Linked DNA regions of Arabidopsis thaliana. The protein of the gene in region 3 purifies or fractionates together with the protein of the main gene of each other region. This does not show direct contact. Each region holds a gene or a part of one and is shown on either strand. Other genes may lie near its edges. The genes, in order: MURE, PDE312, PTAC3 and FLN2.

What was found.
Region 1: the proteins of PTAC3 (region 3) and MURE fractionate together in Arabidopsis thaliana (co-fractionation; one large-scale study listed by BioGRID). This does not show direct contact.
Region 2: the proteins of PTAC3 (region 3) and PDE312 fractionate together in Arabidopsis thaliana (co-fractionation; one large-scale study listed by BioGRID). This does not show direct contact.
Region 4: the proteins of PTAC3 (region 3) and FLN2 fractionate together in Arabidopsis thaliana (co-fractionation; one large-scale study listed by BioGRID). This does not show direct contact.

What each region holds. Positions count from the first base shown.
Region 1 is NC_003070.9:23,610,928-23,619,187, forward strand, and holds MURE (ALBINO OR PALE-GREEN 13), read left to right. Parts: upstream 1-3,412; 5' UTR 3,413-3,533; coding exon 3,534-5,394; intron 5,395-5,506; coding exon 5,507-5,623; intron 5,624-5,711; coding exon 5,712-5,887; intron 5,888-6,024; coding exon 6,025-6,170; intron 6,171-6,301; coding exon 6,302-6,320; 3' UTR 6,321-6,489; exon of another isoform or gene 6,490-6,631; 3' UTR 6,632-6,985; downstream 6,986-8,260. Other genes in the region: SPPL2 (SIGNAL PEPTIDE PEPTIDASE-LIKE 2), read left to right, coding at 7,563-7,709, 8,079-8,237. UniProt on the Arabidopsis thaliana protein: Involved in chloroplast biogenesis. Required for thylakoid membrane development. Seems to be required for plastid-encoded plastid RNA polymerase (PEP)-dependent gene expression.
Region 2 is NC_003074.8:17,959,396-17,967,587, forward strand, and holds PDE312 (Nucleic acid-binding, OB-fold-like protein), read left to right. Parts: upstream 1-2,767; 5' UTR 2,768-2,813; coding exon 2,814-3,542; intron 3,543-3,633; coding exon 3,634-3,693; intron 3,694-3,787; coding exon 3,788-3,817; intron 3,818-3,895; coding exon 3,896-3,969; intron 3,970-4,109; coding exon 4,110-4,352; intron 4,353-4,473; coding exon 4,474-4,540; intron 4,541-4,625; coding exon 4,626-4,718; intron 4,719-4,831; coding exon 4,832-5,008; intron 5,009-5,085; coding exon 5,086-5,136; intron 5,137-5,373; coding exon 5,374-5,525; intron 5,526-5,595; coding exon 5,596-6,013; 3' UTR 6,014-6,218; downstream 6,219-8,192. Other genes in the region: AT3G48490 (uncharacterized protein), read left to right, coding at 1,943-2,036, 2,137-2,405; AT3G48510 (AtIII18x5-like protein), read right to left, coding at 8,173-8,192.
Region 3 is NC_003074.8:1,121,521-1,130,751, reverse strand, and holds PTAC3 (plastid transcriptionally active 3), read left to right. Parts: upstream 1-3,170; 5' UTR 3,171-3,236; coding exon 3,237-3,617; intron 3,618-3,870; coding exon 3,871-4,042; intron 4,043-4,155; coding exon 4,156-4,373; intron 4,374-4,484; coding exon 4,485-4,545; intron 4,546-4,642; coding exon 4,643-4,715; intron 4,716-4,796; coding exon 4,797-4,874; intron 4,875-4,980; coding exon 4,981-5,138; intron 5,139-5,351; coding exon 5,352-5,520; intron 5,521-5,692; coding exon 5,693-6,155; intron 6,156-6,244; coding exon 6,245-6,670; intron 6,671-6,777; coding exon 6,778-6,981; intron 6,982-7,067; coding exon 7,068-7,201; intron 7,202-7,325; coding exon 7,326-7,521; 3' UTR 7,522-7,804; downstream 7,805-9,231. Other genes in the region: RR22 (response regulator 22), read left to right, coding at 63-314, 438-614; AT3G04270 (two-component response regulator ARR22-like protein), read left to right, coding at 2,669-2,848; AT3G04250 (F-box associated ubiquitination effector family protein), read right to left, coding at 7,924-8,802.
Region 4 is NC_003070.9:26,013,250-26,020,210, reverse strand, and holds FLN2 (fructokinase-like protein), read right to left. Parts: upstream 4,188-6,961; coding exon 4,147-4,187; intron 3,899-4,146; coding exon 3,564-3,898; intron 3,482-3,563; coding exon 2,829-3,481; intron 2,749-2,828; coding exon 2,277-2,748; intron 2,190-2,276; coding exon 1,846-2,189; downstream 1-1,845. Other genes in the region: AT1G69210 (Uncharacterized protein family UPF0090), read left to right, coding at 153-414, 698-768, 856-1,031, 1,130-1,238, 1,329-1,628; AT1G69190 (Dihydropterin pyrophosphokinase / Dihydropteroate synthase), read left to right, coding at 5,502-5,505, 5,630-6,961. UniProt on the Arabidopsis thaliana protein: Required for proper chloroplast development, most likely through regulating plastid-encoded polymerase (PEP) dependent chloroplast transcription.

The DNA.
Region 1 (8,260 bases), on a different chromosome or scaffold from region 3:
TTTTAGTGTACATTTTTGTTTTTATACTGTAATAATTTGAAATTATTATTTTAAAATAAAAAAAATGGTTAATGATAGTTTTTTTCCTAAAGTTTGTAAAATAAATGAGAGAAAATGAGAAAGGAGGAGAGGGACGTGAGAATGAAAGAGACATTGAAATTTGCAGATGGTTTCACATATAAGACAATGCTTTCAAATAAAGCTTTTATTTCTGTCCTCTTCTTATCTCTAAATATATATACATACAGTATATTGAGTAAAACATAGTAAATATTACCATGGGTTTTATGTGATTTTAAACATTAACTTATCACTGTCAATAAAAGGTAGAAGTACTTTTTTTTGGCCCAAAATTTATTTTATCGAAAAATGTAACCGTTGGAATCAAACTCAAATAATGAAATAAAGTAGTACATCTGCTTTTATGATTATTATTTATTACGTATAATATTTTGCTGTTATAGTCTTTCTTGACATTTACCAATTGGTTCTCGAGTCCTTAAATGAATATTATTAGTCTTATTTTCCGCAGATTAATCTTTATAAAATTAGTAACGTAAAGACTTGTATTGTTCCATCTACGTCTTAGTACGTGTATACACATGCACATTTAATATGTGTGTGTATATATCAAGAAGTTAATATCTGAATATCAAGGAGTATATAATTATAGAGTAGCCGATCCCAATACGGCATGTTCCATTTTTCTTTCTATTTTATGTGTTTGGTATTTGCTACCGGGTCTGTAATATCTTTACAAATGTTATTTTTAATAAGGTTATGCGTAAAATAATCTGAAATTTACATGTGTTTGTTGTTCTCATATTGATTAGTAATAATACTAGCTATTGACATGTGATTTGTCGTAGTTGAGATGGTGACATTGATTGCTTTAACTCTTAATTTTGTTAATTAGTACAAATGATTTTTATTGATGAATCAATCCACTCTTTTTCGTCTGTTTCACTTATTCCATGTTTACCCAAACCGGAAGTGTTGCTCTGTTCATCCCTTTATCGCCAGTAACGAATCTAACTCTTTAGTCAATATGACTTAGTTATTAAAATTTGAGATTGCATTCGTATTATTGTATAGAAATTGGTGGAACATAAATATGATTGTTTGACTTGTAACGGTATGCGTGTGGTTGTCCACTTGTCTTATGTTATTAATAATCAAATCCATCTAACTTTTCACCAAAGTTTCTCTCTGCCGTTCAATATAATATAATTATGTCGATTTGGCTACGCATATTATAATCCTTTATTCGTTATATAACATTAACATACGTGAACACAGTAGATGAATTATACTTAAGAGCTTGAGATAGTGTACCAACAAATTAAATTGTATATCACGCACATACATAACATTTTTCCTCGTTGACATATGAAGTCTAACATGCGTATGTATATAAATATTGTTCGTATAGACTTTTGGAGATCAAAAGAATAGATAAACTTTCAGTACTAACTGGAAAAAAATTTGTAAAGTTGCTTGGAACACCAGGAAACTGTCCAAGGGTCTTCCAATACTTTCGTATTGGGATAGGATGATCAGAAATAACTCGTTGTTTAATTTGGTACGAAAACAATTGTTCTAGAATGAAAAGTAAGTTTATGTGATTAACTGAGTATCAAACTAAGTGGTTCACTAAGGTTCTATTTACATTTCCAAAGATAGTATATGTGATTGTCCAAAAATTGTCAAGGGACACTGATAAGCGTCCAAAAGATCCAAAATAAGAGTAAAAAAAAAGAGCTTATAAGATGATATATTTCATAGTGAGAACGATAAAGCGTAGTTGTATTTGTTAAAATATCCAGTGTGAAGTGTTACATTATAAATGATGAATGTCTATCAAGTTTTCCATACATTTTTTTTCATAAGATCAAGAGAAAATAAAGAGAATTATATCTTCTTCTTTTTTAAAGAAAACACAATTAAGAGATAAATAATTAAATCATGTACATTATAGCATGTGTAGGTCACGTGTTATGAAAATGGGCTGAAGAAAGTGTAGAAGTGAGGCCCAAGACGAAGGGACCACAAAGGGTGTATTAAACCAACTCAACTGTACATGGCGGTGGTCGGTCCACGTTCCAAATTAAAGTGGCCATGTGGTTTTATCGTCTTCTATCAACGACCAAAATACGGCTCTCCAAATAAGAGAAAAACAAATACAAAACTACGTTATACTACTAACTGACTTTAGTGCAAAAAAACTTAATATAACTTAGGCTCTTAATGATCATGTACATGGCGGGACAGATTTGTATGCATAGCAGATAATATAATATCAAAAATCATGAAATTTTGGATGCAATTCCATCTCTTTTACACCCATTTCTCTACTAGGGCGTTAGAAAGTCTAACATTAGAAGTTGGACTTTAGTTACTCAATGCCAATTAGAATCTAAACTTCGGCCAACTATAGATAAAACCATTAGCTTTTTACAAAATCAAGAAATAAAATCAACCTCTTATGTCAGAAAACCAAGAGCCATCAATCTTTTTCTTCTATAAACAATTCAAATAAAACGTTTGTTTGGTTCTCTGCAACAACATAGCAAATTAGCAATCATTAAGCAATTTTGTCTACTCATCAAACAAAAATATTTCTCTGTAACGAAAAAAAGATAGTGGGCTAATATTATGGGCCATGAGACTGCCTTAGAAGCCCATCCTTTCACTACACACTTTGTAATATACATTAGAAACCCTATAAATTAATACTCGATAAATTAATAAACACGATAAATTAATAAATTTTGCCGGTCGAAGTCGGGCCAATGTAAAAATTAACGAAAATCGATAAGATAATAAAATAATAATTTTTTGAAACCCCTATGTAAAAATATAGTCCCAATAATATCATAAATTAATAATCATAAATCTTAAGCATACATTCTAAGACTAATTTTATATGAAACTTTTATTCAAGCTACAATTGCAACTCTTTTTAGAATAGAGTTGGTATGATCTCTTTTATACTCACATAATTCTTTGCGTATTTGATCCGTCATATTTGGTTTTGTAACATTTTTTCTATGAAAAACCATTGCTAAGATTTTTGTAAAGAAAAATTGATTTAACCTCCACGTTAACGTCGTAGATATAGAGACACTATATCTTGCAGAAAAATAAATTTAAAATATCAAAAATAAAATTAAAGATCTAACATAATTGAATATACAAATAACAAAATATGAGAAAAATACTAAATCGGAAAAGCATTTTTAAAATAATTTAGTATTGTGTTTTACGTTAATATTCTATTAATTACTATTTATTAATTTATAAAATAAATTAATATTATTATAAATTAATAAAAATTTATAGTCCAATCATTATTAATTTATAGAGTTTCTCCTGTACATATCTTTTAATCGTTTTTAGTACACACTGCACCGTTTTATCGGCGTCTTTGATTTCTTTAAACGCATCGTTTGTAACCCAAAAATGAAAAAACCCAACTCTTATCCCCTGGAAAAAACCTTTCACTGCTTGCTTTCTCAGTCTCTCTGTCTCCAATGGCGTTCACCTTTCTCTCTCCTCACCCAGTCTTTCTCTCTCTAACTGGAACAACCTCTTCCTTCTCCTACAAACCAGTTCTCTTACCATTCTCTCGAAATTCCCGTACTCTCACGGTTGCGGCGGGACCTGCTCGCCGGAATTCGTACCCGAACCCTGCTGATGACGATCCACCTGAAGCACCGGAGGATTCAATGCACGGAGTTTCGAAGTTTCAGCAGATCCAGCGTCAAGCTGCTCGTGCACGGAAGCTAGAGGAAGAAGATTTCGAGAAGAATCGGAACACTTATCTCTCCGCTATCGCCGATGTGGAAGACGCGGCGGAGACGGGACGAGATGACGAAGAATCTGGTGGAGACTTGTTCTCTGATATCGATAGAGCAATCTCCATGAAACGTAGTGAGTTTGTTAAGCAAGGATTGCTCAAACCTAATCCTCCCAAAACGGCATCGCTTAAGAAGATTGGGGAGGAGGGAAATGAGGAAGAAGGTGATGTTACTGACGATGTTGATGAGCTTGATGAAGAAGAAGTTGTTGATTTGGATGAAATTGATAAATTAACTGGATTAACAGAGATTTCTGATGAAGAAGATTGGGTTGATGAGGAAGGTAACACTAGGATCAACAAGAAGAAGGAGTTTGGGTCTGATCATCAATTTGAATTCGATTTGGATGATTTTGGTGAATCTAAAGCGAGAATCGTGGAACCTAAGTTCAAAATGTGCTTAGCTGAGCTTTTAGATGAGAGTAAAGTGGTACCAATCTCAGTTTACGGCGATTTAGATGTCGAAATCACCGGGATTCAACATGATTCGCGCGGTGTGAGCGCCGGAGATCTCTTCGTGTGTTGTTTAGGAAGTGAAAATTTCTTGAGTGAAGCAGATAAGAGAGGAGCAGTGGCGGTTGTAGCTAGCAAAGAGATTGATATTGAAGATACTTTAGGTTGCAGAGCACTTGTCATTGTTGAAGATACGAATGCAGTTTTAGCAGCTTTAGCTTCTTCCTTTTATAGGCATCCCTCGAAGAACATGTCGGTGATTGGAGTTACTGGTACGGATGGGAAAACGACTACTACGTATTTGATTAAGAGCCTCTATGAAGCGATGGGTGTGAGAACAGGAATGTTTAGCACAGTTTCTTGTTATATTCATGGCGATAACAAATTGGATACGCCTAATGCTACGATGAATCCTGATGCTGTTTTGGTTCAGAGTTTGATGGCTAAGATGTTGCATAATGGAACTGAATCTTTGGTTATGGAAGCTTCTCCTCAAGAACTTGCTTTAGGGAAATGTGATGAAGTGGATTTCGACATTGCGGTTTTCACAAATTTGACTAGAGAAAATACGGATTTTCGTGGTACTGATGAAGAGTATAGAGATGCTGAAGCCAAGTTGTTTTCAAGAATGGTTGATCCGGAAAGGCATAGGAAAGTGGTTAACATAGATGATCCAAACGCAGCATTCTTTGTCCAGCAAGGGAATCCTAATGTTCCTGTTGTGACATTTGCCATGGAAAACACCAAAGCCGATGTTCACCCGTTAAAGTTTGAGCTTTCCTTGTTTGAGACACAGGTTTTGGTTAATACCCCTCAAGGTATACTGGAGATCTCTTCGGGTTTGTTAGGACGGCATAACATTTATAATATTCTTGCTGCTGTGGCTGTTGGGATTGCTGTTGGAGCTCCTCTTGAGGATATTGTTAGAGGTGTTGAGGAAGTCGATGCAGTCCCAGGAAGGTGTGAGTTGATTGATGAGGAACAAGCTTTTGGTGTTATTGTGGATCATGCAAACACACCTGATGGCTTGTCAAGGCTGCTAGATTCAATTCGAGAGCTTAAACCGAGAAGAATCATTACCGGTATAGATATTTTCTTCCATCTAATAGATACTCTTTGCCTGTTCGGCCGTTCCTATGGTCTTTATATGTGTGGTCATCTGATTATTTTAGTTGTTTTATTTATTTATTGAAGTTATTGGTTGTGAGGGTGAGAATGAAAGAGGGAAAAGACCGCTTATGACGAAAATTGCTACTGAAAAGAGCGATGTGACGATGTTGACATCTGATAATCCGAGGAATGAAGATCCATGTAAGTAACTCTAAGAATTAGATTGAGTCTATCTCCCTTGAGTGTTTCTGGAGGTATATTAACAGTTAATTTTCCAATGTGGTTTTAGTGGACATCTTGGATGACATGTTGTCTGGGATTGGATGGACGATGCAAGAGTATTTGAAACATGGCGAACACGATTACTATCCGCCTTTGGCAAATGGTCATAGACTCTTCCTTCACGATATTAGACGTGTAGCTGTACGTTGTGCTGTTGCTATGGGTGAAGAAGGTGATATGGTTGTAAGTATTCAAATAAACCCACACTCTATACAGTACTTTACTGAGTGTGTTATCAAAGTTGCTGGATTTACCTTTATGAGCAATCAAAGTAATATAGTTCTCGGGTAAATAGCTTTGCTTGACACTGATTTTTGCAGGTTGTAGCTGGGAAAGGGCATGAAGCGTATCAGCTTGAAGGTGAAAAGAAAGAGTTTTATGATGACAGAGAGGAATGTCGGGAAGCATTACAATACGTTGATGAGCTTCACCAAGCTGGAATAGACACAAGCGAGTTCCCATGGCGGTAAGTAGAACCGTAACAGCTAAAACAACCAACGATAACCAAAGTTTCTAATCTGTGAAGAGTTGCTGAAACTTGTCAAGATGCTTCACGATCACTAATCTGTTCTTCCTTGTATTACTGTGCTTCTGCAGGTTACCAGAGAGTCATTAATATCTCTGTGGTGAAATCATTAGAAGAGAAGTTAGCTTAGTCCATGAAACCAGATTTTCTTCCACCATGGTCCAATTCTCTTGCGAAGATCGATTTGCACAGAGGTAATGAATTCTACACAAGTGACATAAAAATCATGCCCAAGGAAAAGAGATTACACCACTGGGAGGTACTTAACGTTCCAATCACCATTACCTTAAAGTTATTCCATTGCTCACTTCACCTGTTTTTTTGGACAAGAGGAAACCTAAGCTATCGAAATGTAATATTAGACTAAACTTAATTCAGATTTTCTGTCATTGTTACCGCAGGAGGAAGATTTTAAAGGTGGAAGAAGATGCGTACAAATTTTGTAAGGGTTAAAAACCCAAAAATGTAAGTGGTTCTGTTTTGGGTATGTTTTGATAGCATGTGTTTAATTTAGATGAACCAATTCAAACCGAACCAACAAAAATAGATTCCGGTTTAAATTATTTATTTTCTTACATGTATCCAAACTTGAAAAAAGTGAATTCAAAGAAAAAAGAAAACGATGAAAATACGGTTTCAATTTCTTAATATGAAAAATTGAGAAAGTAGGAAGACATGATTGAACAATAATAAGATTAGGCCTTGTGATATATTGTGACAAGAACATAAATTACGAATGTTTGGCAATGGTGCTAGGGAATATAGTCTTTTGAAACTATTAAGCATACTTTGAATTTTATATTCTGGTTATAAATTAAAAGATTTCCCAATATCCATTCGTATTTTTGGGACCACTCCACCAAAACCAATCTAATCAAAATATAAAACCAAATAAATAATAATTTGCTTAGAGATAGAAAACATGTTATGTCCGAGGAAATTGTCCTAAATGTCGCAACAAACGTCAATTCATTAATCGTTTTGTTTAATACAAATTTCGACAAGATTGTGATAGATCCAGAACCAGTTTAGCTAAACCGGTTGAATCAGAAGAAACGCCAAAACCCGGTCCAATAGCTCGACCTAACGCCGTCGTTTTCAAAGTTCCTTCACTCTACTTCCTTCTCGCTTACGTCACTTTCCACAGATCCAACAATGATATCAGATAAAATTAAAATATTCCCAATATATTTTCTAAGAATATCTCCCTATTTATTTTTATTTATTTAAACTATTTTAATCTCTTCCGTGTTTCACTCTTCTCTCTCTCTCGCTTCTCTTCATTGTTTGTGTGTGATTACAGCGAAGAAGAGAGAATCCTTGGAGCATTCCATGGATTCGCTTCGATTTCTCCGGATTCTTCTTCTATCATCTTCGATTTTACTCTTATCTCTCCGTTCTACAGTCACCGCCGGTGATATTGTTCATCAAGACAATTTAGCTCCGAAGAAACCAGGTTGCGAGAATGACTTCGTTTTGGTACTTATCTCCACTTAAATCTCTCGTTTCTTACTTCGAATTCAGCTTCCTCTTCACTACTCTCGATACTAATGTTGTTGTTATTCCCCTCTTTCTGGCTTCTTCTTACGAAGCTCAACAAGTAGTTCCAAAAAAACGAAATCGGAGGTTTCTAATTATACATGCTATTGAAATTTCGTGATTGGAGTTTAAGCTTACTGATTAGCTTGTGTAGTTGATCTAAGTTATGGATAAGCTTAAACTCTTAGTTTAAGTCTAATTATGAGTCGTTCATGTTTAAATCTGATATGAGAAGTGTTTGATAAATTGGATTAAGATCTGGTGAAAGTTTTATGTGTGTGATTTGTTGTAACCTGGTTCTTTCCTTAGGTGAAAGTTCAAACGTGGATTGATGGTGTTGAGAATGAGGAGTTTGTGGGGGTTGGCGCTAGATTTGGGAAGCGGATAGTTTCCAAGGAGAAGAATGCAAACCAGACTCACCTTGTTTTTGCAAATCCTCGTGATTCTTGTACACCGCTCAAGAACAAGGTTTTTATGACCTATGACATTAG
Region 2 (8,192 bases), about 17 Mb from region 3:
TAGGTATATTTTGTTTTGCCCTATAAACATTTTCTTAACACTCAAAAGTAAACCAAGCTACATCTTCTTCCTCTTTTCATAAGAAAGTAACAGTAATAATGATAAAAATAAACAAGTCAAGTATTGTAAATATTACATATCTAAACTCATGTTGTCATCATGGGTCGGGGATCCGATACATCCATTGTGGGAGAACGAGCAAGCAACATCGTATATGTTGGGTGAGTACTCTCATAAGTATCGGACTGTTACAGGAACTTATAATGCTATTCTGCTTGGTATATTCTAATTCACTGTGGATCACAAAATTTCCATTGAGTAAGTTAATAAATAGCAAAGTTTGGTGTTTCGAACTCCAAAAGTATGCTATATTAGCATCAAAAGGGTCAATCGTTAGCGGTAAATAATCGAAAGGAGTTTCAATAAAAGTCGGGGAGATCTCAGATACTAATTGCCATTCTCCACTCTTTAGCCTCCATACACATAACTTAGCATCTAAACCTTCATCAGAGACTATGTTCATATACATGAGAAATCCTTGACTAGTTGTGCATGTTCTTATGAATTCGCGATGCTTTTCTAAATCAGGGAAATGAGTAACCCGACACTTATCAGAATTTGTTTCAAAAGCGTAAAAGTCGATGGATATAACAACTTCTGTATCCTCACTATTGCGAACGAGCCAATGAAGATTTTCGTTTAAGCTAATGGGATGGTAAAAATCACGATTGAACGAAAAAGAGAAAAGAAAATGGATAGTGTTGAGACTCGACAACCGTGTCTCGGACGAATATATCTGGACTGAAAACTTATTTTCGTTATTATGGATCTTTTTTGCCTTTCATCAAACATAACAACTTTGTAACTCAAAACGACGCCGTTTTTAGTTTGTGTTACTATTCCCAAGGGACAGAAAAAATTATGCTCGAGAGCACGACGATTGATTTCTAAGCATTGATGTGAAATTGGATTAGCTAGGTATAACGATTGATCCTGAGGATAGACTCGACATCGATCAAAATAAACCCCATATCGGTGTTGTAAGGAACAACTTTGGCTTCTCGGTATATGTTCATTTCGAATTTATCGGTCATAAAAGACGAGATGTAAGAGTACTGGTACGATTAAATCCCCAAGTGTTGCATCTATGATGAGCCACAAGTTCTATCTTGTAACGCCTACACATGAGCGACCATGAAGAAGAATGGTGCAGAGACATGAACATGACACGAAAATGTGGAGACTCGATAATAGATTTCCACTGCTTACAAACCAGTTTAGAAGTCGTGATCATTTTTAGTGGTAATTGTGCAAGTATAATTGTCCATAGATCATCTGTGAAGAAACATATTCTTATTCATATGTGTTATTGGGATTTACTAAGGTGTATTTAAATACTGAATTTCACATAAATTTATTTCTCAATAATATCTAGCTTTTGCTGATAAATCTACGTAACATAATGGTATGTAAAAAAAAAGTAGATTATAAATTTAATATATGTGTACATAATAAACAGTAAGAGATTTGATCAAATTATATCTTTTCATGCTATTTAGTATTGTAATTTTCTGAAATAATCAATTATCCTAAAACAAGTTCATAAATAAAAAGTTAATATCCTAAACAATATTTACGTTTAATATATTTTCTCTATTAATACTAGATTTGATGGAAATTTTATCTATTTTAGTTATTTTATATAAAAAGTTTTTTTGGTTTATAATAATGAAAAACGTGATTAATGATAAAATCATAATAAGAGCGAAGGGCCCATTATAACAGCATTTATTTGGGCCGTTGTTGGTCTCAGGTTCCCGCTCTTTTTTATCGATCGAGGCGCCAAAACACAAAGAATCGATTATATGTTGTCATCTTTCAGATTGTCAATTCAAAGAAGACGATCAGATCTAATTGACTCGAGAGAGAGAGAGAGAGACGTATGTTTGGGAGGCTGAGACCACCGCCGTCGCCGCCGGATTGTCTGGAGAGATATCCGGCGAAGATCATCAAAGACGATCCTCTCTCCGTCTACGGTATAATAAATACACACTCTTTCCATTTTCATGTGATTCTGATTGTCCAATAGAAATCTCTAGGTTTTGAAATCCTTGGTTTCTTTTGATGGCATTGTAGAGTCAACACTGTTGAAACTTAAGCAAGGGTCAACAAGACAGGACACTACTTCATCAGAAACAGAAGGTGAAGAGAATCTGTCATCAACATCATCGTCTCATGTCTTGTCTTCGGATACACAATTAGGAGACACTCATGATGCAATGGCTATAGACTCGTGTGAAAGCTCGAAACAGATAAAGAGCAAGAACCCATCAGTACTATCCATGTTTAGCAAGTACAAGAATCAAGCTCAAGCACGAAACATGAAGACAGAGACTCAGGAATGATTTGTAAACAAATGTATCCCAAGTTCATGTGTGTTGTACTTTGATTATGTACAATTTAACTACATTGTTAGTAAGGAGTCTATATAGATGCCTGTATCAAAACATCTCTCAATCATGTGTTTATTACTTTAGCCTAAACAAGCTTTATGATCTTTAACCAACGGTGTTGATAGTACTGGTCATGTAGGGGTTCATCCATAACTAAACGTCTAAACCTTATATTAAAATGGGTCTAACTGATCAATCAAAAACATTTGGGGTCAAAACAATATATTGGATAAATATAAGGGTTCATCAAAAAAAACTTAACATTTCTTCTTCACTGTAAAATGAAATAAAGCTTATCCATACTCAACTTCTTCACTCTCTCTTAAACCTTCAAAAACCCTGAAGAGTGACGAATGAATCATGCAGATTTGCCAAACCAAGCTCAATTTCACTTTCCCTAATCCCACAAACCCTAATTTCTGCAAACCCAAAGCTCTTCAATGGTCACCGCCTCGTCGCATATCCTTGCTGCCTTGTCGTGGATTCAGCTCCGATGAATTCCCAGTCGACGAAACCTTCCTCGAGAAATTCGGACCAAAGGACAAAGACACAGAAGATGAAGCTCGACGACGTAACTGGATCGAACGTGGTTGGGCTCCATGGGAAGAGATTCTCACACCAGAAGCTGATTTCGCTCGTAAATCTCTCAACGAAGGTGAAGAAGTTCCGCTTCAATCGCCGGAAGCGATCGAAGCGTTTAAGATGCTGAGACCATCGTATAGGAAGAAGAAGATTAAGGAGATGGGGATAACAGAAGACGAATGGTATGCAAAGCAATTTGAGATTAGAGGTGATAAACCACCTCCTTTAGAAACATCTTGGGCTGGTCCGATGGTTCTTAGGCAAATTCCGCCGCGTGATTGGCCTCCCAGAGGTTGGGAAGTTGATAGGAAGGAGCTGGAGTTTATTAGGGAAGCTCATAAGTTAATGGCTGAAAGAGTTTGGCTTGAGGATTTGGATAAGGATTTGAGAGTTGGTGAAGATGCTACTGTTGATAAGATGTGTTTGGAGAGGTTTAAGGTTTTCTTGAAACAATACAAGGAATGGGTTGAAGATAATAAAGATAGGTTGGAGGAAGAATCTTACAAGGTTCGTTTTTTTTTTTGAACAATGAGATATTGTTAGCTTAGTGGTGGCTAAGAGAAGGATTCTAATAAAGATGATGTTTTTATTTATACAGCTCGATCAGGATTTTTATCCGGGTAGGAGGAAAAGAGGGAAGGATTACGAAGATGGGATGGTAAATATTATTATGCTACTGGATTTGATTGTTTGATTAGTTTGCTAGATGATGAACTGTTTGTAAGTTAATTGCTTTATTTTTCTTTGTGCAGTATGAGCTTCCCTTTTACTATCCAGGGATGGTAAGAATTCTTATTCTAAGCCTTGTATATTGTAACTAATGATTGGTTTAAATGAGCAATATCGTAATGTCCATGCAGGTTTGTGAAGGCACAGTTACCACTTTACATCTGTATCAGGGAGCGTTTGTTGACATTGGAGGTGTTCATGAAGGGTATGTTTATGTCTCTTTACTTTGTAAAGATAGACTTACCGTGGTTCTTGTATTTAGGGTATATAACGTAATATAATGTTGTCTCTTGTTTCATATGCTTTTTTTGAAAGATGTAAGTTTATGTGTCTATTGGTTTGCAGATGGGTACCTATAAAAGGTAATGACTGGTTTTGGATCCGGCATTTCATAAAAGTTGGGATGCATGTTATCGTTGAAATCACGGTAATCTTAAGGCACATATTCTTCTTTCGCATTTATAAAAATCTGAATGGAAATTGCTTCATTCTCCTTTTTCTTTTGTTCTTTCAGGCAAAAAGAGATCCATACCGGTTTCGGTTTCCCTTGGAGTTGCGCTTCGTCCATCCTAACATAGATCACATGATGTATGTAATTCACACGTATTTAATTCTCTTTACATATCCAGTAAAAATTGGCATTTTGGTTCTGTCCTCAATGGTCTTGGTTATGGTATATGTGTTGACTGTTTTTACATTCCTGCTCCAGATTTAATAAATTTGACTTCCCACCAATATTCCATCGTGATGGGGATACTAATCCAGATGAGATACGGGTCAGTAGAATCCTTTCCTAGAATATCAATCCATTTCGTGTTCTCGTGAAGAGTCTCCCTCTTATCTAATACATTGTTTGTACAGCGAGATTGTGGAAGACCTCCTGAACCTAGAAAAGATCCAGGATCAAAGCCAGAGGAGGAAGGGCTGCTCTCTGATCACCCTTATGTCGACAAGGTATTTTCCTGAGCAAAAGGGTTGGTTATGTGATTTTTGCTTTGTTTACTCATTAGGTTTATTGGCTTTCTAAATTTTGTGAAACCGTCAACACATTTCTTTCCCGTTTGCAGTTGTGGCAGATACATGTAGCTGAGCAAATGATTTTGGGTGATTACGAAGCTAACCCTGCAAAATACGAAGGCAAAAAGCTATCAGAATTATCTGATGATGAAGACTTTGATGAACAAAAGGATATCGAGTATGGCGAAGCTTATTATAAGAAAACCAAATTGCCAAAAGTGATTCTGGTGAGAGTTTCTTCTGGTGTGTTCGTGAAACCATACTGTCTTAAGCTTTGTGATTAAATGTGTTCTATTTCTGGCAGAAAACCAGTGTCAAGGAACTTGACTTAGAGGCTGCATTGACCGAGCGCCAGGTTTAAATTCTCTTCCCTACTTGTCGTCACCAATTTCCTTTAACCCACTGCTACGGAAATATTCTCGTTTGTATTTGTTTATTTTTAATAGATTTCCACTTCACACTGTCTTGGTAACTCCGATTGTCGTCACAGTTCCATTTTAAGGCTTTGCACTTTGTAATTGACACATTGTTGTATGAATCTTTTATACTGATAGTGGTTAATAACTCAATACTCTCCTGTTGTCTTGTGCAGCACCACAATAAACTAATGATGGAAGCTAAAGCAAGAGGAGAAGGATACAAAATTGACAAGCTCAGACGAAATATAGAGATGGACGAGTATGATTTCTTACACTGGCGCCGATCTTTGGAGGAAAGAGAAGCATTGCTCAGAGATATCAGCTCGTAAGTAAAAAAAAGTTCACTTTGATGTTTTTCAAAGAAAGTGTTTAGATGAAGAAGATTTATTTTGCAGTCGGCAAGCACTTGGTTTACCATTGGAGGAACCAGGGAGGTACAAGCCAGGAAGCTTCTTTGGGAAAGACCAGTACGATCCAACAAGTGCATTATATCAGTATGACTACTGGGGAGAGCCAAAGAACTCAGAGATTAGCAAGCAAGAGAGAATGAAGGATGCACACAACAAATCCATTGTTGGGAAAGGCAATGTGTGGTATGACATGTCTTACGATGATGCGATTAAGCAGACAATAGAGAAAAGAAAAGAAGGGTCTACCTTGGCGAGTCAAGAAGAAGAAACAGAGTCAGAGGAAGAAGAAGAGGATGACGATGATTTTGACGATTTTGACTATAGCATTCTGAGTGATGAGAGCAGTATCGGTTACTCGGAACAGCAACCTCTTGTTAACGGTACTCAAGTCTTGACAGACTGATGTTTAAAAGGAAAGTAAAAATAAGAAATTGTCGAGGTTGATTTATTTGAATTTTTGTCTGTTAGGTTTGATCTATTTGATAGTTTTTTTTTTTCATTTCTTCTTATCCCGGAGATAGTAAAATCAGTTTCTTATTAACTTAGCCAGACGTTTGGGATCTTGTAGTACACCGTTGAACGTTAGGAACGTGACGTTTTTTGTTTTTTCTATCAATCGTCGTCAGAGAAGGTAGTCTTGACACCGCAAAATACGCCTAAATGTTTCTCTTGTTTCTTCTGTTTGGGCTCCAAAACATCAACTTCTATCAAAAGGCTTTCTCGTTCGTACCTGGAATATCAAAAACCCTTGTCATCTCTCCGTGTATACCAAAAACTTCACACCATGTGTGCTCTTTGATGACAAAACTCTTAAGGCAAACTCTTACCAAAGCTACTCTGCAAGGTTGTACCTAATTCACAAAAATAATAGCATTAAACTTGTACAATGACATCAAAACTCTAAAGCAATAAGTTAGAGAACCAAATCTCCATAACATGGAAAATCAGTTTACTTGGGTCGGAGAGGGTATGGAGCTATCTCAGCTACGGAGAAGATGAAAACAGAGACGGTTTATTAGCCTGGAAGAGTTCGTTGAGAGCAGCAAAAGAAGTTATAAATATAAACCTTGAAGAGGAAGAGAGCGAGAGAAAAGAGGTGCTCCGAGTTGTATATGCTCGTTAAGGGTTTTCGCTCTTCTTTGTGGGCCTTAAAAGGCTAATAAGCTTCGGCCCAATTTTATTATTCTGTTTAAATCGTCCGTTGACTTGTTTTATTTTATACAACCAAAAACAATCTTCATACATATTGTTTACGGTTTAAGGATGGTGTTTGCAACGTCTCAGTACTCCGCTTCTGATCAGTTAGGTCATTAACAATAGTAACGGAAGATTAAGTAATACTAAAAGATTCTAACAAACAATTTACAAAAGAAAAGTCTCCTTAAAATTCTTAACTAAATTATTATACAATTTATGTCCAATGTAGGTAGACTTGTATTGCTATTTAAAACTCTTAATTTATTTATGTTTTGATTAATTTGATTATATATAACGAAAAATAAATTCAAAAAGATTCTAAAAAACAATTTATAAAAGAAAAGTCCCCGGCTAAACACTATTCATTTGACCCTTAAAAACTCGATTATAGTATCATACAATGTCTTTGATTTTAGTCTTGTAGCGCTATTTCTTATCCGGAGATGGTAAAATCAGTTTCTCATTAACTTAACGATTTGGAATTTGGTACACACCGTTGATTTGAATGTTTTGAATCTGACGTCTTCTTCTTTTTTTGTCAAAAAATGGAACTGATGTTTAAGTTCCAAAAACACAGCTACACATAGTTAAACATTGGTCCATGTGGCATTTCTATTATGGCATAGATGATATATAGATGTCCCACGTATCATTAGATATCGCACTTTTACCGCAGGTAGACTGTAGTACATTCAAAGCTGTAGTACAACATTTATTCCTCACCCTCCTTTTTTGTTTTCTTTTGCTCCGACGTATCACGTTTATTGGGTCGTTTACTTTCTTATATTCCTTGTTTCCTCAAAACGTGAGTGCCGACAAAAGAAAAGAAAATATCAAAATCAAAATGTGATGAGTTCGACTGAAATATCTCTTCAAGTGAGTAACTAGCTCAAAGTAAGACCGGTTCGCTCACACTTTTTTGTAGCAATCAAGATGGTATGTTTCACATTTTTTGGACCATTTTGGAATTTGCATGTTTGGACGATCACTCGGACCGTAATTTCCAACCGTCCTTGCCGTGAAATCTCACAACATGCGTCCAATATAGGTGGGAACCGCACCGACGATACGCATTAAATACTTACAAAATTTTCCTTCATTAATTATTTTTAAGCAACAAGCTTGAAATTTAGCATCACAAATGCGTCAAGAACAAACAAAAGAAAGATGCATTTTTTACAAAAATTCTTAAATAAAAAACTATTTAAAAAACAACCAAAAACAAAGAAGGCATAAGAACAAAAACGACATAAATATATGTTAAACCATTAGAAATCTAATTAGTTCTGAATCCATATTTTATCATTGGAGGACATATCATGTGTAATGTTCGTGCCCATAGTGACTAAAGTTGATCTAACGGTGTCAAAGGCACAAAGCGGCCT
Region 3 (9,231 bases):
ATTTCATTTTTAACTTACTTCTTTTTTTTTGGTGAAGATTCTTGAGAGAAAAGAAATCGAAGATGGCAACAAAATCCACCGGAGGTACCGAGAAAACCAAGTCGATAGAAGTGAAGAAGAAACTAATCAACGTGTTGATCGTCGATGATGATCCATTAAACCGTAGACTCCACGAGATGATCATCAAAACGATCGGAGGAATTTCTCAGACTGCAAAGAATGGCGAGGAGGCAGTGATCCTCCACCGTGACGGCGAAGCATCTTTCGACCTTATTCTAATGGATAAGGAAATGCCTGAGAGGGATGGAGTTTCGGTACTTAATGATCTTGAATCTTAATCTGCTTACCAAATAGACAATTTAAGTGGGTCGATCATCACTATACTTAAAAACCTCCTCTTTAATATAGTTTTTATGTTCTTTGTTGATTTAATTTAGACAACTAAGAAGCTAAGAGAAATGAAAGTGACGTCAATGATCGTTGGGGTAACGTCAGTAGCTGACCAAGAAGAAGAGCGTAAGGCTTTTATGGAAGCTGGGCTCAACCATTGCTTGGAAAAACCCTTAACCAAGGCCAAGATCTTCCCGCTCATTAGCCACCTCTTCGATGCTTGATGGATGAAGGCTCATTAATGTATCTATATTTTCAATCATGAAATCACCTACACGTGTATTTGACACAAAAATCTGCATTTGTTGTGATATAGGGTTTCTCATATCTATGTTTGATTTATTTTCTTATCGTCCGAGGTAAAATCATGCAAGTCATTTCTTTTGGCTAATAAAATATTAAAATAAGGTTTTCTCTTGTTGAATGAGCTAATTTACTTCATATGGCTCATGCAAATCTCCATATCAGTTAACTTTAAAAAAATTATACATAGTTTCGCGATAAATTCTAAATTTTAAATAACTATCACATTTACTAAAAATAAAATAATGTATGTATGTAAATATGTAATGTAACTGGCTAATTTAATTGAATAATTATAATACTTACAAAAATAATATATATCGCGAATCTGACTATATTTATGTTTTGTTTATCTTATTCAAAAAGATGAAAATATAAACACTTTACTAGCTATATCTATTTTCTTTTCTCTATTTTTCAAAAACATAATTTACATAATATTTCATATTATTTCAATTCCAGTTTACGTTCCATATTTTTAATGTATATATATTTTATTCTTGTTCTTCGCATATATACGTCATATTATTTTGTCCAATACTATATGTCATTAAGAAGATAGGGTACTACTACTGGGTACATCATATCTTACTTTGGATTTGATAAGGTTTGTGTAAATAAGAGTAAATTCTATTTTCAACGGCGTGTATCATCTTAGCCAAATTTGATTAAGCATTGTGTGCTATACACTCAGAAAGTACCTATACTAATGTTGCACTATAAATAATAATTATTACAAATTTTTAATCAAGAAACTAGCTATGGGTCTAAAGATCAGAACATAAAATGTAATTTTTTTTTCTTCTAATTTTGACTTTATAACACAATTTTTTTGGACATCTTTTTATTTATTTATTTAGAAACGTTAAATTTTTATTTGATATCTGTTTTGAATTAAATCAGAAAAAGAACATCAAACAAAAATTTAACGTTTCTGAATTTCTTTGGTTGTGACCACATTTCTTGCAGCCGTATAACTCGTGACTCTAAATCTTAAAAGCTTTGGTTGTGTAAGTGTTTGAAGTGGAGTTATATTCTACACTTTAATTTTGAGTTGTTTTGTTTGAACTCTATATCTGTACTTCACTTTTCAAAGCATCTACTATGTCTCTCTGGAAAGTTCAAATTTGTTATATATAGGCAAACCAATTCTTCACTTGGCTTTTCAGGTGTATTGGTTTGATTCGGAAATGCTTGGGAGGTTGAACCGAAGAACAAAGGATTGATGAGTTCGAATATTTTCTATATATACCATAGCTTTTTGAGATTATGATTTGTTTAGATAAACAAGATCGTGTTGTGTTATTTGTCTCTGCTTCTTTATTTAACATACGTATGGCATCGTAACATCTTCATATGTTTGTAAATACAATTATTTTCACTTTTGTTTTGATATTACTTTCGAAAATATATGAAAGTGTTATCTATAAACTATATCAGGAATCAGTGGTTCAACAATTAATGATATCCAAGAAAAACGCTGTGTATTATAATGTGGATTACGAAAGTTCTGACAAAATTTGTGTGAAATTTTGTATGTCCGCTTTTTCTGTTTTCTTTCTTATGCATTTTCGATCATTTTATCTGAAATGTGTTACAATTAAACTAAATATTCCTCTACTACATAACTCAAGCTCACATTTTTTTTTTTTGTTACTTCGGCGCAAAGTCTTCAAACACTAATTAACAAGATTTCCCGTGTGGATGCTTAGCATTTTTCTCCACCCTAACTAAGATGGAAAAATTACTCATACCAGTAAACGAAACTATTCGTAAAAACTGATTTCCTTTTTGTAAGTGTAGAACAAATAATTTTTTTCACCGACAACTTCCATTTTTTTACTATCTCTAAAATTTTCAACACGTATTCCAAGTATTTCCTTTTATTTTGAGTAATACTCTTGTTTCCAAAAATAAGAGTTAACATGATTAGCTTATATACTTGATCTTTTGGGTTCTTGTTGTGATTATATGAATGATGAAGACAAAGAAGAAAGAATCGAGAGGAGAAATTGGGAAGAACATGTCGTTGATATATAAGAAGAAACTAACGGTGTTGGTCGTTGACGATGATCCATCTTGTCGTACACTCCACATGGGAATCATTCAAATGGCTGGAGGATTCCCTTACATGGTGAAAAACGGCGAGAAATAAGAAGCTACGTGACATGAATGTGACGTCAATGATCGTGGGGATGACGTCACATGAGGACGAGACTAGGGCATTCATGGAAGCTGGAGTTGACCACTGCTTGTCAAAGCCCTTAACCTTTGGAAAGATCGCATCCATCATTGACCATCTCAAAACCGCATAATCTACCGATTAACAAAATATTACTTGGTTTAGTTCGGTTATGTGACTACTGATATAAATCTTGTTCAATGCAATTTGGTCTAGTTCGGTTCTGTCTGGTTCAATCCAATTAACTCACGTGATCTGCACATGATCATCGTCTACATTTTAATTAAATAAAAATCTAAATTTCAAATCACTTTATCCATTCCCCAGTAAAAAAAAAGTTTCAGACTTTGGCAAAAAAAAAATGTCACTCTTGTTCCTCAATCCTCCGTTTCCCTCCAATTCAATCCACCCAATTCCTCGTCGTGCCGCCGGAATATCCTCCATTCGATGCTCAATTTCTGCACCGGAGAAGAAACCGAGGAGGAGGAGGAAGCAGAAGCGCGGCGACGGAGCTGAGAATGACGACTCTTTGTCTTTCGGAAGTGGTGAAGCTGTCTCCGCTCTGGAGAGGAGTCTCCGCCTCACTTTTATGGACGAGCTTATGGAACGAGCTAGAAATCGAGATACTTCAGGTGTTTCTGAGGTTATCTATGACATGATTGCTGCTGGGCTTAGCCCTGGACCTCGTTCTTTCCATGGTTTGGTTGTAGCTCACGCGCTTAACGGCGACGAACAAGGCGCGGTATATGCTTCTCTCTATAGCTTAAATTAAAGACGTAGACTTTATGTTTTTAAGAAATCATACAATGCTGGAGCTTAAACTAAATCGAATTTGAATTGTTGTGCTTTATAGAACTTGAGTTATGGTTTAAGACTTTACAAATTTTTTGTATCAAAATTAGAACTTTACTCTTTCTCATAGCTTATTGAGTGTGTTTGAACTGAAAGATTGCTTCTTTTTTTTTTGCTTGGTGTGTGTTTGTGTGTGATTGCAGATGCACTCGCTGAGAAAGGAGCTAGGTGCAGGCCAACGTCCGCTTCCTGAGACTATGATTGCTTTGGTTCGTCTCTCTGGTTCGAAAGGGAATGCTACGAGAGGCCTAGAAATCCTCGCCGCTATGGAAAAGCTTAAGTATGACATTCGTCAAGCTTGGCTCATTCTTGTTGGTATTCTCTCTTACTACTAAGACTATGTGTTAGAATCAAATGGTTGTTGCTTGTGTCTACCAGGATTGAGGTTACTGAGTAATCGTTTATAATTTGATTGTGGTCTTTTATAGAGGAGCTCATGAGGATCAATCACTTGGAAGATGCGAATAAAGTTTTCTTGAAGGGTGCAAGAGGTGGGATGAGAGCAACAGATCAGCTTTATGATTTGATGATTGAAGAAGATTGCAAAGCTGGAGATCATTCTAATGCCTTAGACATCTCTTACGAAATGGAGGCAGCTGGTAGAATGGCCACAACATTTCATTTCAACTGTCTTCTTAGTGTGCAGGTTTGTTATGTTTTTTTTTAGAACGTATACACACACTTCTTCTTTGTATAATGAAGATGGTAAGTCTTTTTGTTGACATCAACTACATTTTTCTTTGCTTCCGTTGTGTAGGCTACATGTGGGATTCCCGAGGTAGCTTATGCTACATTCGAAAATATGGAGTACGGTGAAGGTTGTATGTTTTTCTTAGCTAATTTCCGCTTCAATTGTTTGGTTTAGTTGTTGCCTGATGGCTTTTGACATGGCTTGATGTAATCTTGATTTGGTAGTATTTATGAAGCCTGACACTGAGACATATAACTGGGTGATTCAAGCCTACACTAGAGCCGAGTCATATGATAGGTAATTCTTATGAGTTTTTGATTGCACACATTTCTCTTAGAAGTGGACAAATTTTCAGGTAGCCTGTTGCATGAATCACAGGGTTCAGGATGTTGCTGAATTACTTGGAATGATGGTTGAGGACCACAAACGTGTGCAGCCAAATGTGAAGACTTATGCGTAAGAGAATCATTATTTCTGTATTGTACTCATTTCTACCAACTTTGCATTTCTACCTGTTCTATTGTAAAAATCCTAATATGATCTGTATGATGATCCATTTCAGGCTCTTAGTTGAGTGCTTCACCAAATATTGTGTCGTGAAGGAAGCGATTAGACATTTTCGTGCTCTTAAAAACTTTGAAGGAGGAACAGTAATTTTACACAATGCAGGGAATTTTGAGGATCCTCTCTCTTTGTATCTCAGGGCTTTGTGTCGAGAAGGTATGCATACACTTGTACCTGTGTCAATATAATATGCAGAGGCATATGTTGAACACCTTCTGGGAGATCATGAGAACTTATGATTAAAACGATTTATGATTATGGTTCTCTATTTCCCTTATTTCTGTTTTTATACTTAAGCGTTATATTTGTTGATTTTTAGGACATGCTAAATTTACTGTCTTTAAACGGTACCCTCTACCTTTGAACCAGGAAGAATTGTTGAGCTTATTGATGCTTTAGATGCAATGCGCAAAGATAACCAACCTATACCTCCAAGAGCCATGATTATGAGCAGAAAGTATCGAACACTAGTCAGCTCATGGATTGAACCATTGCAAGAAGAAGCTGAACTTGGCTATGAGATTGATTATTTAGCGAGGTAAAAACTTGAGTTCTGCGTGGTTTGACTGGAATTTTGTTGATCAGATTCTATCCTCCCATTTACAAGTTATACGCTAATGCTCTGTTCTAATTGTCAGAAAGGAAGTATAGTGTCTTTTTTTACATGTTGTCTTGATATACTAAGATTCGCATTCTGTAAACATTTTCAGGTACATAGAGGAAGGGGGACTTACTGGTGAACGCAAGCGTTGGGTACCTCGAAGAGGGAAAACTCCTTTAGATCCCGATGCTTCTGGTTTTATATACTCAAACCCTATTGAAACATCCTTTAAACAGAGATGCCTTGAAGATTGGAAAGTTCACCATAGGAAGCTCTTGAGAACCTTACAGAGTGAAGGTCTTCCAGTTCTAGGAGATGCATCAGAATCTGATTACATGAGAGTGGTGGAGAGATTACGGAACATAATAAAAGGTCCTGCACTGAATCTTTTGAAGCCGAAAGCAGCAAGCAAGATGGTTGTATCAGAGTTAAAGGAAGAACTCGAAGCTCAGGGTTTGCCAATTGATGGAACAAGAAATGTGCTTTACCAGCGTGTCCAAAAAGCAAGGAGAATAAACAAATCTCGAGGTCGACCTCTTTGGGTTCCTCCAATTGAAGAAGAAGAGGAGGAGGTAAATTTATGCTTATGCTCTTTCTTTCATTCGGGTAAACATGCATCTTTAGTACTTGTTACATCTAAAAAAGTTTGTTTTTGATATAGGTCGATGAAGAAGTAGACGATTTAATATGTCGAATCAAGCTACATGAAGGAGACACAGAGTTCTGGAAACGTCGGTTTCTTGGAGAAGGCTTGATTGAAACTTCAGTTGAATCCAAGGAAACGACTGAATCAGTGGTTACAGGTGAATCGGAGAAAGCGATTGAAGATATTTCAAAAGAAGCTGACAATGAGGAGGATGATGATGAGGAGGAACAAGAAGGAGATGAGGATGATGATGAAAATGAAGAGGAAGAAGTGGTTGTTCCAGAAACTGAGAATCGAGCAGAAGGAGAAGATTTAGTGAAGAATAAGGCAGCTGACGCGAAGAAGCATCTTCAAATGATTGGAGTCCAACTCTTGAAAGAATCCGATGAAGCAAACAGAACAAAGAAACGTGGGAAGAGGGCATCTCGTATGACACTTGAGGTTAGTACGTATAACACACTATGATATGGTTATGATTTAAGTAGACACATGATTATGAATTTGATAGTTTAAGCATGTTTTCACAATGCCGATTACCTCCATATCAGGATGATGCAGATGAGGATTGGTTCCCTGAGGAACCATTTGAAGCATTCAAAGAAATGAGGGAAAGAAAAGTGTTCGATGTGGCTGACATGTATACAATAGCAGACGTTTGGGGTTGGACATGGGAGAAGGATTTTAAGAACAAAACTCCAAGGAAATGGTCACAAGAGTGGGAAGTCGAGTTGGCAATTGTGCTCATGACAAAGGCAGGAGTTCCTTCAAGCCTCTAAAGCATTATTACACAAATTGTTTTATGATCCTTCATGTTAATAATAATGATAAATTTGTGTAGGTGATTGAATTGGGTGGAATTCCAACGATTGGTGATTGTGCAGTGATATTACGAGCTGCTTTAAGAGCTCCCATGCCTTCAGCCTTCTTGAAGATCTTGCAGACGACACACAGTCTTGGCTACTCATTTGGCAGGTAACTCAGTTACAACCTCTCTTTGGGTTTAGTCTGTTAGAGAAGCTAGTCTAAGGCGTTCGATATGACTAAACTTGACTATAAACAATGACATTTGAATACACGTGGTAAAAATCTGTTGCAGCCCGTTGTACGATGAGATCATCACATTGTGTTTGGACCTTGGAGAACTTGATGCAGCCATCGCCATAGTTGCAGATATGGAAACCACAGGGATCACTGTCCCTGATCAAACCCTTGACAAGGTCATATCTGCTAGACAATCTAATGAGAGTCCGCGGTCTGAGCCTGAAGAGCCAGCATCAACAGTAAGCTCTTAGTTATCATATCCTCTTCTGCTTGTTGTGAAGTCTCTATAAGAAACAGAAATCGGTAGAAGGAGCTGAATCTGTCTTAGTTATGAAAGTTTTGTTCATTATAAGTACAAGTCATGTAGTTCCGAGTGTAGAACAGTTTTTACTAGTGTTGCACCAGGTCCCTCCAGTCTGATACTTAATTCTTTAGTGTTGGATCTTTCTATATAAGAAACGCAAATAGCAAGACGCAGCTGAATTGGTCTTACTAACAAACGTTTTGTTCACGAAAAAGATAGGAAGAAACAAATGAACGATAGTAACAAAAGTTAGAAAATCCTCATCATATTGCATAAGATAGGAAGAAACAAAATAAGGATAGTAATCTTATTCAATGAGAAAAAGAGTGAGTAAACGAAGGAGGCTAAATTAGGCTTTAAAATTCGTTTGCTTCTTCAGACCCTCGAGGACTCGTTTTTTCCATTTATTATCCTCCTGCTTGGTTCGCTTTATAAAGGCGGCAACTCTCAACATGTTTTGGTCATATCGACGCTGTTCTAGAATGGGTTTTCGTTTCCTTTTGCCTCCCGGAGGTTGTTTGATTTGCATTGAATTTGGAACGTAAGGGCACAAATGTGGCCTACACTTTATGCCGGCTACATGTACTCGGAGATCCAATTCTCTAAAATATCCAGTTTTTCCAATGATGTTGACTCTGTGGTGATCAAAAACCATGGAGACTTTCTTCTCCTCGTCAATGAAGAAACTCCCATGTATATATGCAATCGGCATGTCAGCCAATGGTCCTGTATCCATTTCCAAGATCTTGCTCCACGACACTTTATCATACTCGATCTTAGTCGTGATCCATATCTCAAACTCATATGGATTCCAGTCGTTGTGCGTAAGTAAAGCCGCAAGCTTCTCTTCTCTAACACAAGATAAAGTCACATAGTCATCATGGCCAGCGCTAAACGGTAGACGCAAAAGTGGCCCAAATCTCTCACTTGTGAAATCAAAACAGATTATGTGATCGTCGATTTTGTTTATTGCGTTACTTTTTGTAGCACAAAAGTAGGTATTTCCCTTGAGAGAAACACCACGCTGATAACACGATACTATCCAATATGGAGGGACATCAAGAGTTGTCCATAAATCGGTTTCAATATCGTAGATTTCATACCATGAAAACCGGTTTTCGGGTGCGTGGTTCACGGCCGAAGAGATGTAATGATCTATAAACCTCAAGACTTTGTGGCTACGACAAGAGTTGTTCTTGTTCACGTACCCTAGAGCGTACCTGTACATGTCCATATCCTGTTCTACGCGGTGCTGCTTCTTTACTAATGTGCAGCTTCATAAAGCTCTGACTTTGGGATAAAGCGTACAACGTTTTGCAAGTTAATTTCAATGTCCTCATATACTTCATGGGAAGTCTAGATACAATATCCTCTATCAAATCCCTTGGAAGATTTAAGATCATCGTTGTCGTTTTCTCAAGTTGCAACAAGGTTTTTTTTTTTTTAACCTTAAAAAAGTGTTCTTCTTTTCCTCTGATTTTTTTCCCGCAGAAGACTATACATAGGAATTTGAAGTTGGGCCCAATCGTGGGCTTCAGAATCTTCTCTTGTTTTCTTTTTGGTAATCACATTCATAACATCCAAGTTCTTTACCAACAATGACCATTTGTATGGGGAGAGCATCAAGTTTGTATGAAGCTGGGCTAACTATGGGCTT
Region 4 (6,961 bases), on a different chromosome or scaffold from region 3:
TAAAAACCAATCAATTTTGTCTCCTCTTAGCACAATTGCTAGAAGATTGAATGGAACAAACGGATTTTGTAACACTCGTATAAATAGTATCCCCTTAGGTTTAATAATAAATACTATTACAAGTCGTGTCTCTGTGGGAAATTCGAAAAAGCATGGCGAGATACCAAAATCTCTTTGTAGCTGCTTTGTTCCGAGCTTCTCGCCGTTTTACCAAACCGGCGACTTGTATCTCCGTTAGAACTTTTTCTTCTTCCTTACTACTTCCAAAGACGACGACACGTCTTACTCTTCCTCGCTATTTTCCTTTCTCTTCTTCGATCTCTACGTTTTCTTCTTCGTCTTCTTCTCCTTCTCCTTCAGCTCGACCGCCAAAAACCGCCGGTAGTAATGGCGACGAAGAAGACACTTTTGAATGTAAGATAAAATAAATAAACCTTGTTTTCTTTGACTGCCTCTCTGTTTTCTGGGTTTTAGGATTTGTTTACGGTCTTTCTGTGTGTTTGCCTTTTTCTTGTCTTTAAGGTGTTTGTTAAAATGTCTCCTGCCTAAAAAATGTATCTTCTCAATGTTGCTTGCTCTCTCGCTTCCTTGACCTTATGATTTTAATGCTTTTTCTTGTCCTTAGAATCTGGTATTTCATAAAGGTCATAAGATACTAATTGGTCTCATAAAACATTGCTTCCAATCAAATTGGCAGATAAAGCAACTGATGATGTTGAGGTCATAGAAGATTGGGAAGAAGACGAAGATGAGGATGTTGAATCACAGGTATATCTCTTTCTACTACATTTTCACGTCAAAATCGCCACTCTGTTTCTTAGATTCTTATAAGCTAATCTTTCTTCTGTTTTACAGCTTGGTGATGGAGGAGATGGTGGTGGAATTGTTCTTAAAGGTGTAGCATGGGGTGAAAGAGTTCTCTCTATAGCTGCACAAGTTTTGAAGCAGTCTGAGAAAGACTTGGAATTGTTTGCTTTCAAAACTTCACCGCGTGGATATATATACGTCAGACTAGACAAACTCTCCACTGAGTAAGATTCTTCACCCTTCTATATCATCAAACCATTGCAAAAGAGCAGTATGTTTTGAGAATTAACGAAAGCTTCTTCTTTTTTATTGTACAAAAAAGATATGGATGTCCTACCATGGATGAGCTTGAGGAATTTAGTCGAGAATTTAAGAAAAGACTAGATGATGCTGGGGCTGAAAAAGTAATCCCAGAGGATCTAGCCCTTGAGGTCAAAAAGAGTCTTTCCCCAGTGAATCAACTCTCACTTGGTTCAGTTTTGTTACAAAATTTTGTTTCCGTTTTTTTTTTTTCTGTGTAGGTGTCATCTCCAGGAGCGGAGAGGCTACTGAGAGTCCCAGAGGACTTGCCCCGATTCAAGGATATGCCAATGACAGTAAGCTATGTAGAAGAAACAAACTCGAGGAAAGCAGTAAAGAGTGGAGTGTTCCTCTTGGAGTCTATAGATGCAGAATCAGATAACTGTGTCTGGAAATTAGCAGATGTAAGGGAGAACAGAGATCCCGAAAGCAAAGGCAGACCGTTAAGCCGGAAACAAAAGGACTTGAGAATCACACTGCCTTTCGCAGATCACAAGAAGATAAATCTCTACTTGGATTAGTTAAGTAGACGTAGAAGTAGAGTTGCTATTAAAGTAAGTTCATCGTCACTGCAGTTTCACATTGCTGTTTCCGGATAATTTCAAGTGATTTTGTATTAGTTGAGATGGTGAGTGAGATATCAAAACATATGACAAAAATTCACACTACTAAGATGTTGTAAGATGTGAACAGGAAAAAAAAGCTGACTAACAGAAACATTATCAAATCTTATGAAAATCATAAACTACCATCTTCAAACATTGAGCCAACAAGCTCTAACTTCTTGTACTCCCTTTCCTCTACTGGTTTCATAACGTATGGACCATCTGGTTCATCATAAGGCTTTGAGGTTCTGTATTCCTTCTCTGTTATCGATCTTATACCGTTTGGATCTGATTCCACTTCATCTTCTTCTTCATCATCTTCTTCTTCTTCCATGTCATCCTTTGGAGGATATCCTCGGGTTTGTGCCAGCAACCATTGATCAATAATACCACACTCAATTGCATATCTCGCTGTGCGTTCCAGGTACCCTTTATTGTTCATAAGATCTGGCTGAACCGTAAGCATTCTTATTAGACCTGAAATAGAGAGTAGTGTGGTTCAGTTAATCGCAAGCATAACTTCCAAATTGCTATGAAAAACAAATGACACAAGTGAAAATGTACCTGCAACGATGCCATCTCCAGATGCTGACATATCCCTTGTAAAAGGAGTAATGGGAACATCCTCCATTCCGGAAACAGCACCATTGTGCTCTTTGGTATAGTAATGGATCTTAGAAGTGCCATTGGTCACAAACAAGACCTTGAGATTTTCATGCCAAAGCTGTTCCACAGTTTCTGGCGGGTAATGGACAAACTTACTGATGTCATTGTTTTCTGTATCGAACTCTTCAGTAGGCTCGATTCCGCATAAGAATTCAAGTTCCTGTTTTGTGATTTCAATGACGTCTGCAAGATTCCACACTTCCTGTATGAAAGACTTGGTTTCTTCGCTGGAGTGCCATAGTGGTAAAGGGAGATTCAAGTCATAAAAAATGACATTGCCTAGTTGCTTTGATATCTTGATGGCTTGTATCGTAGTTGACATCATCTTCTTATCGAGTAGAGAATGCGTGCTGAAGTAGAACATTTTCGCCTGCACCAAAGTTAAGAGATTGGTGAACAAGAAAAAGAGCCAAAAACTCAATGTTCCAAATCTCCAGGACAATATATTACCTCTTTGAGCACATCAACGTTGATTTCAGATTTTGAAAGTGAATCCTCTGCACATGGCTTAATACAAGTCGATTTCAAGCGACCTCTCTTGCTGATCTTCATAGTAGAACACGCCGTAACCCTTTTACCATCAATCTTAACTGATCTAGTTTGGACTTTGCACACATTCAGATAATACAACATGGCTTGACCATAGTCATCAGCCCCAAGTTTGCCCATAAAAGCAACCTTACCACCCAAGCTTGCAAGAGCAATAGCAACACCTCCTGCACATCCTCCAGGAGCCCGGATATACTTCTCTGGAGCCCACTTTGCATCTCTCATCCGTTCGTGTAGTTCATAATCTAATAGCCTGTTTGCTGGCCTTCCCGAAGGCACAAAAGCATGTTGTGCAGATCCAAAGCAACACACGAGAGGAGGCCATCCATAAGTGTGACTAATATCTTCACCTTCATGTTTACTCAGATCAATCTCTTCTTCTTCACTCTCTGTATCAGTGCTTTCAACAGCCAATGCTTCCTCGACATCACTAACCTCAGCATCCATAATAGTAGCTAAATCATCCTCCACATCTTTATCTTTCTTAACAGTCCTCTTTCGTCTCACTTTCTTCTCGGTTTTTACTTCCTCCACATCAGAAGAAGCTGCTGCAGCTGTATATATGTCGAATTCAAATTAAGTACTCGTGAATCATCAAGTGAGAACCATCAGCTCAGAAATGGTAAAAGTCATTACCTTTCTTTCTAGTTCTTGTCTTTTTTGGTTTCAAAGCTGAGACAATGCTTTCCTTGTCTAAAACATCATCATTATCAACCAAAAATTCAGAAATTTCTTCTAATGGTTCATCCTTAACCACAACCTTCTTCTTCGTTGTTCTCTTAACACTTTTAGATGGTTTCTTTCCCACAACCGCACCGTTTCCATCATTACCTTCTTCTTCAAGAGGTGCTGACTCTGATAACTTTCTCCTACCAGCAGCCATAGAAAAGCTTTGTTTCCCATTCCATCTTTCACCTCTAAACTTCACAAAACCATGCGACTGGAGCAGACAAGGAACATCTGCATTGCATCTGCCAAAATCAAAGCACAGCTATGAGAAAACCATTACATCAAAATGTGAAATTTTCAAACAGAAAGACAAATATAGCCCTCAATTCAAATCATTGTTACTCCATTCTTCTGTAGAAAGATAAGATGAGCTAAACTTAAAGTTCGCACATTTTTGGGCAGTAAACTGGTTCTACGCCAAATCCATAGAAACCCATATACTAAAATTTCCTAAGGTTAGAAAACAAGAGAGAGAGAGAAGCAAAGGGACCTGGGGAATGATAAGAATTGGGTGAAGGAGAGAGACGCCATGAACATCAAATAAGAGCTCTTTTCCAAACGAAATTGTAGTAAAACTAAGCTCCGAAACCCATAAAGTCGAAAGAAGCGTAAACCCAGAAATGAACAAAGGAGAGCAATATGTTTATGAGTTTTGAGGGAGATTGGGGTTTAAGCTCTGAAACCGCAAGAGGAGCTAGCTGGGAGAGGATGAGGAGGAGGTTTAGCGCTTTAACGAAACGGCAAGCATTCTATGATCAAAATACTAAAACGTCAAGATGTCCCTATTCTGTCTACTATAATTTATTTACGGCTCATTTTTCTTCTTTAAAGCTAGTGAATTTAGTATTGTCTATATGACATTCTTTTAATGTAGGTAGAAATATTTGTTATGTAAAGTTTTTCGTGAAATCGTTTGCTATTAAAAAACTACTTCAAGGAAAATATTTTGTTGTGAAGTTAATTGGCTCATCATCACAAAGCTACAAAAAACTTACGATTAACTGAAATCATAATTACTATGATGATTTACGAGTAAATGATTTGATTGGCATAGAAATAATGCCTAAAGATGGTGTGATGAAAAACTTAATACAATTCTAACACGAGGATATATATATATATATATACTGTATATTTATTTATTTTTCGTCAAAAAATATAGACTGTATATATGTTATGGTAAAACGGCTATTTTTTGCTATATAGTGAAAATAATATCGTCTGGAGTTATAATAATTAGAATTTTGTATGGTTAATTAATTTCTATTGGTAATGTAACCATGAGTGCCTTGAGTGGAATGAAAGAAAATTGATGTAGTCAGAACAAATCTATGAAAATTTTGATATTTTTTAAAAATGGAATGAAATAGCTGGAGACTAACACACAATTTTCCATCATCTATCCAAATATATGTTTAAATGGTAAAAGATAGAATAGATAATGAAAAGAATTATGAGAGATTCACTACCAATTTCAAAATTATGAGAGATTCATTACCAATTTCAAAATCTCTCTAAAAACAAAGTTTTCTTCTCTTTTTTCTTTTCTTTTCTAGATCTTCATATCTAATTCAAAAGAGAAGCTGACTTTTGACGAGCGTGAAAGACAGAAGGTACTTGGATAACACAACAAGTTCAGAAAAAAAGTAGGTGAAAATTGGCTACCACCTTGCCTCTCTCATACATAAGTATTGTTTACTTCCTTGGTTCTTAAAATATTAGAACCCATTTTTTGTGTTTCTAATAATTGTTTCGTTGTTATCTAAGACTAAACTCATAGTTTTGTATACTTTAAGGTCAGATCGAAGCAGACAATACTGATATTTTGGAGGAACCTATTCTAAAATGGGTTCGTATCTTTTTCATCCGTTTCATTTTCGTTGAAAAAAACAGCGTTTACGTTTTGATACACTAATTTCTGTTAAGTATTGAATCATATTTCACCTTCGAAACATGTTTTGTATATGACTCAGATTTCACATCTTTGGAAACAACAACTTTCGAAGAAGTCGTGATAGCTTTGGGAAGCAATGTTGGAAACAGAATGAATAATTTCAAAGAAGCTTTACGATTGATGAAAGACTATGGGATCAGTGTAACCAGACACAGTTGTTTGTACGAAACAGAACCTGTTCATGTGACCGACCAACCAAGATTTCTCAACGCTGCAATAAGAGGTGTCACAAAGCTCAAACCTCATGAACTCTTGAACGTTCTCAAGAAAATTGAGAAAGAGATGGGTCGTGAAGAAAATGGTTTAAGGTATGGACCAAGACCACTTGACTTGGACATATTGTTCTATGGAAAGCACAAGATAATTTCTGATAAACTTATCATTCCCCATGAGAGAATCTGGGAAAGACCATTTGTTTTAGCACCTTTGGTAGATTTGCTTGGAACGGAAGATATTGATAATGATAAAATAGTTGCATATTGGCATTCACTCTCAATGCATTCAGGTGGAATTTTCCAAGCGTGGGAGCGGTTAGGTGGTGAGTCATTGCTTGGAAAAGACGGTATTATACAAAGGGTTATACCAATAGGAGATCATTTATGGGATTTTTCTAAGAAAACTTATGTGATGGGTATACTTAATCTTACTCCTGATAGCTTTAGTGATGGAGGTAAGTTTCAATCGGTAGATACCGCGGTTTCTCGGGTCCGGTCTATGATATCTGAAGGTGTAGATATTATTGATATCGGTGCACAGTCAACACGGCCGATGGCCTCAAGAATATCTAGTCAAGAAGAGATAGATAGACTGATTCCGGTTTTAAAAGTTGTTCGCGGTATGGCAGAGATGAAGGGAAAGCTCATATCAGTGGACACTTTTAACTCTGAGGTTGCTTTAGAAGCAATAAGAAATGGAGCTGACATTTTGAATGATGTATCCGGAGGAAGTTTAGACGAGAACATGCATAAGGTTGTTGCGGATTCTGATGTTCCTTATATGATCATGCACATGAGAGGAGATCCATGTACAATGCAAAACAAAGAGAATTTGGAGTATAATGAAATATGCAAAGATGTTGCCACAGAGCTTTATGAGAGAGTAAGAGAAGCAGAACTCTCTGGGATTCCAGCTTGGAGGATTATGATTGATCCAGGAATTGGATTTTCTAAGGGAATAGATCATAATTTAGATATTGTCATGGAGCTACCAAAAATCAGGGAAGAGATGGCTAAGAAGAGTATAGGATTGTCTCATGCACCTATACTTATAGGACCTTCAAGGAAGAGATTTTTGGGAGATATTTGTGGTCGTCCTGAGGCAAGTGAAAGAGATGCTGCAACTGTTGCTTGTG